Linked DNA regions of Canis lupus familiaris. The protein of the gene in region 1 purifies or fractionates together with the protein of each later gene. This does not show direct contact. Links are inferred from orthologs where the notes say so. Each region holds a gene or a part of one and is shown on either strand. Other genes may lie near its edges.

The links.
Region 2: the proteins of MRPS9 (region 1) and HNRNPU purify together in Homo sapiens (co-immunoprecipitation; 3 studies listed by BioGRID and IntAct, with this or other methods). This does not show direct contact. The link is inferred for Canis lupus familiaris from reciprocal best matches to the Homo sapiens genes MRPS9 and HNRNPU.

What each region holds. Positions count from the first base shown.
Region 1 is NC_049231.1:39,408,159-39,412,293, reverse strand, and holds part of MRPS9 (28S ribosomal protein S9, mitochondrial), read left to right. Parts: intron 1-2,810; coding exon 2,811-2,990; intron 2,991-4,135.
Region 2 is NC_049228.1:35,785,124-35,789,924, reverse strand, and holds the start of HNRNPU (heterogeneous nuclear ribonucleoprotein U), read left to right. Parts: upstream 1-1,522; 5' UTR 1,523-1,761; coding exon 1,762-2,452; intron 2,453-3,347; coding exon 3,348-3,459; intron 3,460-3,543; coding exon 3,544-3,617; intron 3,618-4,801. UniProt on the Homo sapiens protein: DNA- and RNA-binding protein involved in several cellular processes such as nuclear chromatin organization, telomere-length regulation, transcription, mRNA alternative splicing and stability, Xist-mediated transcriptional silencing and mitotic cell progression.

The DNA of each region.
Region 1 (4,135 bases):
ACCCATCTCATGTCCTGTTTCATAAAAATAATGGCCATAACACATAAGTAATCTTACCTTTCCGTCTTTTTCCCTCACAAACTATGTTGTTTCTTTGCATAGTAAAATAGATGTTTCTTATCCTAACACTAATGCCTGCCATTCCCCCTACTTTGATGGTGTCATGTCATGTCCCTTGCTGATTATTAACAGACGGCATCTCTAGCTCAGATCTCTCCTGTGTACATACCCACAGAGCCATCTGCCTCCAGGACACCTATCTCTCTGGAGATGCCCATCAAGCATCTCAAACTTGTCATGCCCCAAATTGAACTCATCACTTTCCTCCCTATCTTACTGTTCCTTTAGAACTCATTACTTCAGTGAATGGAAATCTCATATTCACTGGGAGACTCATTTCTCCTGAGGGCTGTGATTGGTGGTTGGTGGCAAGTGTAGTGGGGTCACCTGTATTACAAATCGTTTTGGTTATGGACAAAAACATTTTGTCACGTGACTTAGAAAACCAGCAGTGTAATCATCCTTTTGGCAGTGGAACATTGGGGAAAATCACCTCTATTGCGTGACAGCTACTTTCTCCAAATCCAGATCAGTATTTTCTCTTCATTTTGAATACAGGAAGCAACATCTTCCAGTGTTCAAAGAAAACATGAAATCATTGAAACACACACACAGAAGCAGAACCCTGGGAAAAGTAAAAACAAGATGGAAAAACTCCTGAGACAAGGATTTGATGCTGTTGGCACTAACTGTGGGGAGAGGGAGCAGGATTAGGAGTGTACAAAGAGGCTATACGTAAGCAAGTTTGGGTCATGTTTTTACTCATTGATAGTGACACTGTATCTTTATAAAAACATCTTAAGATTCTTGATTAATAATATGAAGAGAGAAGAAACTCCTTTGTGCTCCCCAAGGAAAAATAAACTATAAAGTTTCATGGGATTTTAAATTGCCTTATTTTACTCATTAAGGAGTTGCAAGAAATAATTTTATCACTATTTTGATTTGTGAGAGTTTAAGAACATAATTTTTACTATTAATAGAGCATTGTAATATTTGTAATATTTGTCCTGTATTTTTTCTTTTACTTTTTATTGTAACTACAGTGACAAATTATTATAGTTATTTGAATCTCTGATTCTCAAAGGGTTAGGGAATGGATGAGTGAGAGATGATGGTGGTGGTGGTATGTGCGAGAGAGGTTTGTTTGTTGATGAAGAGGTAAGTGAGGGAGTTACTAAAAATTATAGTTAAGGTCTGAATTGCTTAAGAGTGCTTAACATTGTTGAGGCTGGGATAATGGTCGAGAACCACAGATTAAGATTTTGAGAAAAACCAGGACCAAGAATATCTATTCTAGTTATATCCATCTACTGAATGTGGCTAAATAGTCATTTGAAAACATTTTTCTGGTTCCTTAGCACCTTTTATTGCAGGTGAACTATTTATGCCTTGGGGGGAAATTCCTAGTGCTATAGCATAGAAGGTTCAACAGCGGCAAGTGATACCATTACTGATAATTTAGAAGGATGGGAAAGCCCTTATTTCTGTAAGTTAGTGTATTGAACCAAATTAATGATAAAGCTTGTCAGTGCTTACTGAAGCAGTTTCTTCACTGCATCAGCTTAAAATAGTCTCAAGCTAAGCTAAACTGTTATTTTAAAGCCTTGAAAGATGAGCTGTATTTGTACCCTAAAGCAAGATGACTACCTATAGCCTAAGTGTGCTATTCTGCAGTACATGCCTCTTTTCTCCTTTGTCCTCTGCTTGCTGTCTGTCTGCAAGGGCATTTACTTCTTTTCAAAGGGAGTGTCATCTCTTCATTACCTGTGTGTCAAATATCACAAGTAGTTGACATTGACCAATCAGTATGAAATGTGGATATTTGCATTAGACAAGGATGTTTTCATATCACTTCTAGGTATTTTGGGTTTAACTGTGTGAAATGCTAGTAGTTTAAACTACTGTGTAAGTAGAGGCTTTTAAAAGCTAGCTTTTGAGTGGAGGACGATTTCTTTTTCTTTTTCTTTTTCTTTTCTTTCTTTTTCTTTTTCTTTTTCTTTCTTTTTCTTTTCTTTTTTTTTCTTTTTCTTTTCTTTCTTTTTCTTTTTCTTTCTTTTTCTTTTTCTTTTCTTTCTTTTTCTTTTCTTTCTTTTCTTTTTCTTTTCTTTTCTTTTCTTTTCTTTTCTTTTTCTTTTCTTTTTCTTTTCTTTCTTTTCTTTTCTTTTCTTTTTCTTTTTCTTTTTCTTTTTCTTTTTCTTTTTCTTTTTCTTTTTCTTTTCTTTTTCTTTTCTTTTTCTTTTTCTTTTTCTTTTTCTTTTTCTTTTTCTTTTCTTTTTCTTTTCTATGATCAACAGGAAGAAAGAGAGGCAGACACACAAGCAGAGGGAGAAGCAGGCTCCACACAAGGAGCCCGATGTGGGACTTGATCCTGGTACTCCCAGATCACGCCCTGAGCCGAAGGCTGACTCAACCGCTGAGGCACCCAGGTGTCCCTTGAGTGGAGGAAGATTTCTAACAGCTTTCTTTTTTTCTTTTTTTTTTTTCCTAACAGCTTTCTTAACAGGCCTTTTACCTGTTTCCAGACTCTTGCCAACTGAGTACTATAATAAAAACAATTGTTTGAACACCCTGTTTTATGTAGAGACAATAGCCTACAAGACATTACATTGTAATGTAAATGTAAATAATTACATTATTTAATTTAAAATCTAAGTTAATCACAGTTTAATTACATTGTAAGGTAAATATAATGTAAATAATTACATTAATTTAAAATCTTTTCTCTTTTCATTTATATTTTCTGCTAGATATTAAGGCTAAGGCACACCACAGGTGTATCAACAAAGAAAAATGTTGCAGCCTTAAGACGTGAAACTTACACAGTGGATTTTATTAAAAAGCAGATTGAAGAGTTCAACATAGGAAAGAGACATTTAGCCAACATGATGGGAGAAGATCCAGAAACTTTTACGCAAGAGGATATTGACGTAAGTACAGTTACTCGGTTGGGAAAGTAATTGCTGTAGAGTTTGTTTGTTATGATTTATTTATTTATTTATTTGAGAGAGAGAGAGCACTAGCCAAGGTGAGGGAGAGAGTGAAGGGTAGAGGCAGAAGGAAAAAGAAACGTAAGCAGACTCTGTGCTGAGCTCAGAGCCTGATACAGGCCTCCATCTCATGACCCTGAGATCATGGACGACCTGAGACAAAACCAAGAATCCAACACTTAATCGACTGTGCCACCCAGGCATCACTAGCTCTGTCAGTTTTAATCAAACTGTAAGAATAAGGAGAAATACCACTCTGCATTGCAAGTTGGAACCCAGGTTTCAAAGAGAAATGCTACCCTGTATTTGGAGCATTGTGAAGCATAGTGAGTGTTAGATTTTAATGTGAAATGGATAATTGTCTTGATTCAAGGTCCTAGGAGCCAATGTGAATATTTAGAACAATGTAGAAATATTTATCCTATTGTAGTTTTAAACTCAGCTTTCTTACAAATAGTAAAACAGATGATGATGGAAATAGAGTCAAGTTTATAGAAAGTCCCATAAGTAAACCTGAGTTTAGTGTTTTTTTATTATTATCTTAGCTATACATTTGAATTTTCAGTCAGGGCATGTTCTAAATGATTTGAGAGAGTTAGAACTGTGTTATTGTTCCACTTTTGAGTTGTTCTGACCCTGATAAAAGTAGTAATAATAAATAATACTTTTTTGCTAGACATCACAACATAGCTAGCAAAGGTACTTAAAATTTAACCAATTTGAAGTTTGTTCTAACTTTTTAAAATTTTATTTTGAATTCCATTATAGTTAATGTACAATGTTGTGTTAGTTTTGGGTATACAATATAGTGATTCAGCACTTCATACAACACTCAGTGCTCATCACAACTGCCTTCCTTAATCCCCCGTCACCTATATCCCCCATATACCCCTCCCCCCCACCGGGAACCATCAGTGTGTTCTCTATAGTTTAGAGTCAGCTTCTTGGTTTGTCTCTTTTTCCCTTTGCTCGTTTTTTTGTTAGCTGGTTTCCTAAATTCCACAAATGAGTGAAATCAAATGGTATTTGTTTTTCTGTGACTGACATGTTTCACTTAGCATTATACTTTCTAGCTCCATCCGTGT
Region 2 (4,801 bases), on another chromosome or scaffold:
TACATTTAAACTTTGATTCATGAAGGGACTAATTATCCAGTTTGTGAACCTGTAAGCCCCTGTAGCTCTCTTCCCATTCTTTGCAAAGAATTTGAAACTCCAGTTTGTGAGTTGTTTATAAGCTCCAAGGACATCGTAACCAAAGGCCAAATGAGTTTTTGGCACTATTTGGAAGTTCCTATTTTGGGTGCCTTCCCCCTCCACTGACTTTCACCGAGAATTAGCAGTACTGTACATACTCCATTAGTTAATTTCAACTGTCATTCCACAGATGTATTTCATCTTTATGACGACTGAGTGGTAAAACACATGGTTCTTGGAAGCTATGGAGAAGAAACTTGAAAAAATAAAATGCATTCAACGGTTAAATCATACTGGCCTCTGCTAGTATTGCTCCAGTTTCAAGTTAACATTCGGGGCAGCACTACTCCAGCTCCAGCACCACACAGTGGGTAGGACTGAGCTCTCTGATAGTGGGACGTTGTCTAGTCACTGTGCAGGCTTTCTTGGGGGTGTCGCATGCGCCCCTCTATCACGTATCTAAGTGCTGGCCCCCTGTGCGCAACCTCAAGAACCTAACATGCCTTTTATTTGGGAAAAGGGAAAAATCAAACTTCTAAAACACACCCAAATACACAACAGATTTCGGGAGCCGATTGTCTCTTTTTTCTTTCTTAGAAAATCCCGGCCCTTTGACTCGTCCTGAGCTCTTACTGGCTTCAGCACGACTTATGGGGGGTGTTCCTGCGGGGGGGGGGGGGGGGAGAGGCGGCGGAGGGCACGATCCGGGGGCGTGAGCTCGCGGGGGGCCGTCTGGGCGGGCGGACGTGCCCCTCCGAGGCTCGCCCCGCTCTCCCGCCCCGGGGCGGCCGGACCAGCCCTGCCATCCGGGCTGGGGAAGAGACAAAAGGGATGCTCTGTCCTCGCCCTTCCCGAGCCTAAAATCCAGGGCGCAGGGCAGGGCCTGGGAACATTCCACCAAATGCGAGACGGAAGGCACCCCCCGCGGGCAGGGCCTGCCCGTCCGTGCCGTACACATCAACACGGAAATAAGATTTCGAGGCGTTTTAAGCAGCGGGCTGGCGAGCGAGAGAAAGAGGCAGGCCCATCCAAGATGGAAGCAAGGCCGAGGGCTCGGGCGGAAGCCGCCGGGCCGGGGCCGGGGCCGGGGCCGGGGCCGCCGGGCTCTGGGTGCAGCAGCCCCGCGCCCGGGGGCCGAGAGCGAGGCGAGGGCCGCCAGCACCCAGCTCGGGAGGCCGCCCGGCTGCGGCGGATCGCTGTAACCGAAAGGCGGCCCCCCTCCTCCCCCAGCTCGGCCCCGCGGGAAGCGCACTGCGCGGCCGGCGCCGCGCTCTCGGCGGGTTGGGCGTGGGGGCGGGGAGGGCAGGGCGGGCGGGCGGGCGGGGGCGGGGGCGGGGCGCGGGGGCGGGGCCCCGCGGCGCGGGCGCGCTCCCCCCCGCAGCGGAGCTCCCGTCAGCGCAGGGGGCGGGGCGCCTATATTACGTGCGCGGCGCCGCCCCTGCGAGAGGACGTTGCGTGCTCGCTCGCGCCAGGCGAGTCTCCGCGTCTCCCTCGCGAACTCGGTGAAAGGAATTGGCGCCGTTCGACACCAGGCGGGTCCGCTCTGCAGCACGAACCCACCTCTAGCCGCAGCCGCAGCCGCCGCCCGGGCCGAGGAGCAGCCGCAGCAGCCGCCACCAGTGGCCGAGGGAGCGGAGCCGAGTTTGAGCCAGCGCCTAGCGGTGAATCGGGGCCCTCACCATGAGTTCCTCGCCTGTTAATGTAAAAAAGCTGAAGGTCTCGGAGCTGAAAGAGGAGCTCAAGAAGCGGCGCCTTTCCGACAAGGGCCTCAAGGCCGAGCTCATGGAGCGCCTCCAGGCCGCGCTGGACGACGAGGAGGCCGGGGGCCGCCCCGCCATGGAGCCCGGGAACGGCAGCCTAGACCTGGGCGGGGATTCCGCCGGGCGCTCGGGAGCAGGCCTCGAGCAGGAGGCCGCGGCCGGCGGCGACGAGGAGGAGGAGGAGGAGGAAGAGGAGGAGGAAGGGATCGCCGCCCTGGATGGCGACCAGATGGAGCTAGGAGAGGAGAACGGGGCCGCGGGGGCGGCCGACGCGGGCCCGATGGAGGAGGAGGAGGCCGCCTCGGAGGACGAGAACGGCGACGATCAGGGCTTCCAGGAAGGGGAGGATGAGCTCGGCGACGAGGAGGAAGGCGCGGGCGACGAGAACGGGCACGGGGAGCAGCAGCCTCAACCGCCGGCGACGCCGCAACAGCAGCCGCCACAGCAGCGCGGGGCCGCCAAGGAGGCCGCGGGGAAGAGCAGCGGCCCCACCTCGCTGTTCGCGGTGACGGTGGCGCCGCCCGGGGCGAGGCAGGGCCAGCAGCAGGCGGGAGGTAAGAAGAAGGCGGAAGGCGGCGGAGGCGGCGGTCGCCCCGGGGCTCCGGCGGCGGGTGAGTGCTGCGTTGTACGTTGCGCGCGGCGGGAGGCCCGCGCGGGGTGGGGACCGTGCCCCAGGCCTGCCGGAGCCCCGCGGGGGGGAGGGGGCGGGGGCCGCCGCGGGGGAGGCGGGGGGGAGGGGGCGCGGGGAATCCCGCCCGGCCGCGAGGCCTCGGCGGCCTCGGGCTCGGCGTGTGCGACGGCGGCGGCGCCTCCATTATGTGGCTGGAGGGCCGGGGGGTGGGGGTGGTAGCTGCAGCTGCCGCTGGAGGGGGAGGAGCCGCGGGCGGCGGGCGGGAGCCCGGTCGGCCCGCGGTGGCGCCGCTGCGCTGCGTGCGCGCGGTGCGGGCACATGTCTCGGGGGGGGGAGGGGAGAAGAGAGGCCCGAGGGCCCGGGGCGGGCGCGCTTTGGCGGCGCTGGGCCGCGGTATTGTGCAAGGAGCGCAGGGGCTCGGCGTGACGTCACTTCCGGCGGGAGGGGCCGGGCGGGGAGAGCGGGGCGGAAGATCAGTACAATGCGGCCGCGGGGAACGCGGGCCCGGGTGGGGGAGGGGAGGAGGGGAGGGGCGGGCGCGCGGGCCGGCGCGGCCCCTCCCCCCTTCCTGAACTCTCTCCGGGATCCACGTGGGCTCGGGGCCGGGGCCGCCCTGGGCTCCGGGAGCTTTCTCGAATCTTCGAAGAGGCTGGCAAAATTAGGAATGTCTTTAGACTGCGTCACTAGCTCCTGGCCGGTTCCAAGCTGATTGTTCTTTGAATTCGCGTTGGATTCGTCGGTTGAAATCGCTTGCAGAAAAGAACGGGGGAGTTAGGAGTATTTGCGTTCCCCAAACAGGAGGGGGGATTTTTTTTTCTTTTTCCCCGGTTGCGTCGCGGCTTGGCCCCTTATGTTAGGGGTGTTGTGTGTTATAGGAGACGGCAAAACAGAGCAGAAGGGCGGAGATAAAAAGAGAGGGGTGAAAAGACCTCGAGAAGATCATGGCCGTGGATATTTTGAGTACATTGAAGAGAACAAGTATAGCAGGTAGAGGATGCCGATCTAGTTTTACCCGTCCCCGTTCTTTCTGGGGTAGGAAAAGCTGAATCAGGAGACAATTCTGTCTTTCAGAGCCAAATCTCCTCAGCCACCTGTTGAAGAAGAAGATGAGCACTTCGATGACACAGTGGTTTGTCTTGATACTTGTAAGTGAAGCTGTTTCTTCCCTTTTCTCCCCCGGTTACTAAATGTGGCGATTTTGGTGCCAAAATGTTAGAGAACTTAAACGCAGTGTGCTGAATTTAAATGCAGAATACTTAGCGTAAACCGTTTACCTTTTTTAAAGGAGGGAGACGAAAGGTTTTATTCAGATTCTGGTAGCTAAATGTCTAATACAGCATCAATTGTGTCGTATTGATAATTTTATAGGCTCCAGCAATTTGGTGTTATTTTTTATATGATTAGAAAGTTCTCATTTATAGGAATGTAAAATTAATGGCAATTTTTGGTTTAGTTAGCTAATGGAAACTTGTAAGACAACCTGTAACTTGTCCTTTTAGGCTCCTACGATAAAGTAATTTAATTTTTTTGGTAGCATTTTATTAAGTGAGCTATTTGGGCTAGTTAAATACGTATTAATGATTTTTTCCCATTAGCACACAAGTATATTCCCTATTCTAAAAGATTGTAATATTACTTTTTCAATAACTGCTCTTTTGTTCTCAATTCCAGTTCAGTAGCTGCTGCTTTAACATAAGTTGATTTCTTCCAAAGACCTGGGGCAGCAGCAGTGGGCTATCACTGGGCTACTAGCTTTCTTCAGCAGCGAATGGTATCAATGGCAGCGCTGTAAATACTGCTACTTTACCCAGTTGGGTTGCAATTGAGTATGAGGAAGTATTGCAAACCTCTAAATGGGCCTTGGCTGTCAGATATGTAATTTTGCATAAAAATACTTTGTTCAGTATTTGATCAGAATGCACAGCTCTTTCACTTTGATAAATAGAGCTTAGAAATAATGGCTTGCTAAGTAGGTGGTCAGGTGTGAACCTGCCCCATAGATCTAGGGAGTTAAAGTTTAGATTTCCGTGTTTTCCAATACAAATTATTTTTAGCAAGATTTGTGAGAATGTAAATGTTAACTCTTGAGTTCGTATTAAATACCCTTAACAGGTAGTTGAGCTAAGGGAATCTTTTAAAAGAAAAGAAAACTGCACGTGGAAAAATCTTTGATGTGAGAGTTTTATTTTAAATAGTTCCATTGCTTTTAAATATGACTAAGTTGGAATTGGCAAGATAGTGAAGCAGTGCTTCCAGAAGTGACGCTACCGCCCAAGTAGATGGGGTTTTAGCTGATTACCTAGGAACATCAACTTAATTTGTTGCTATC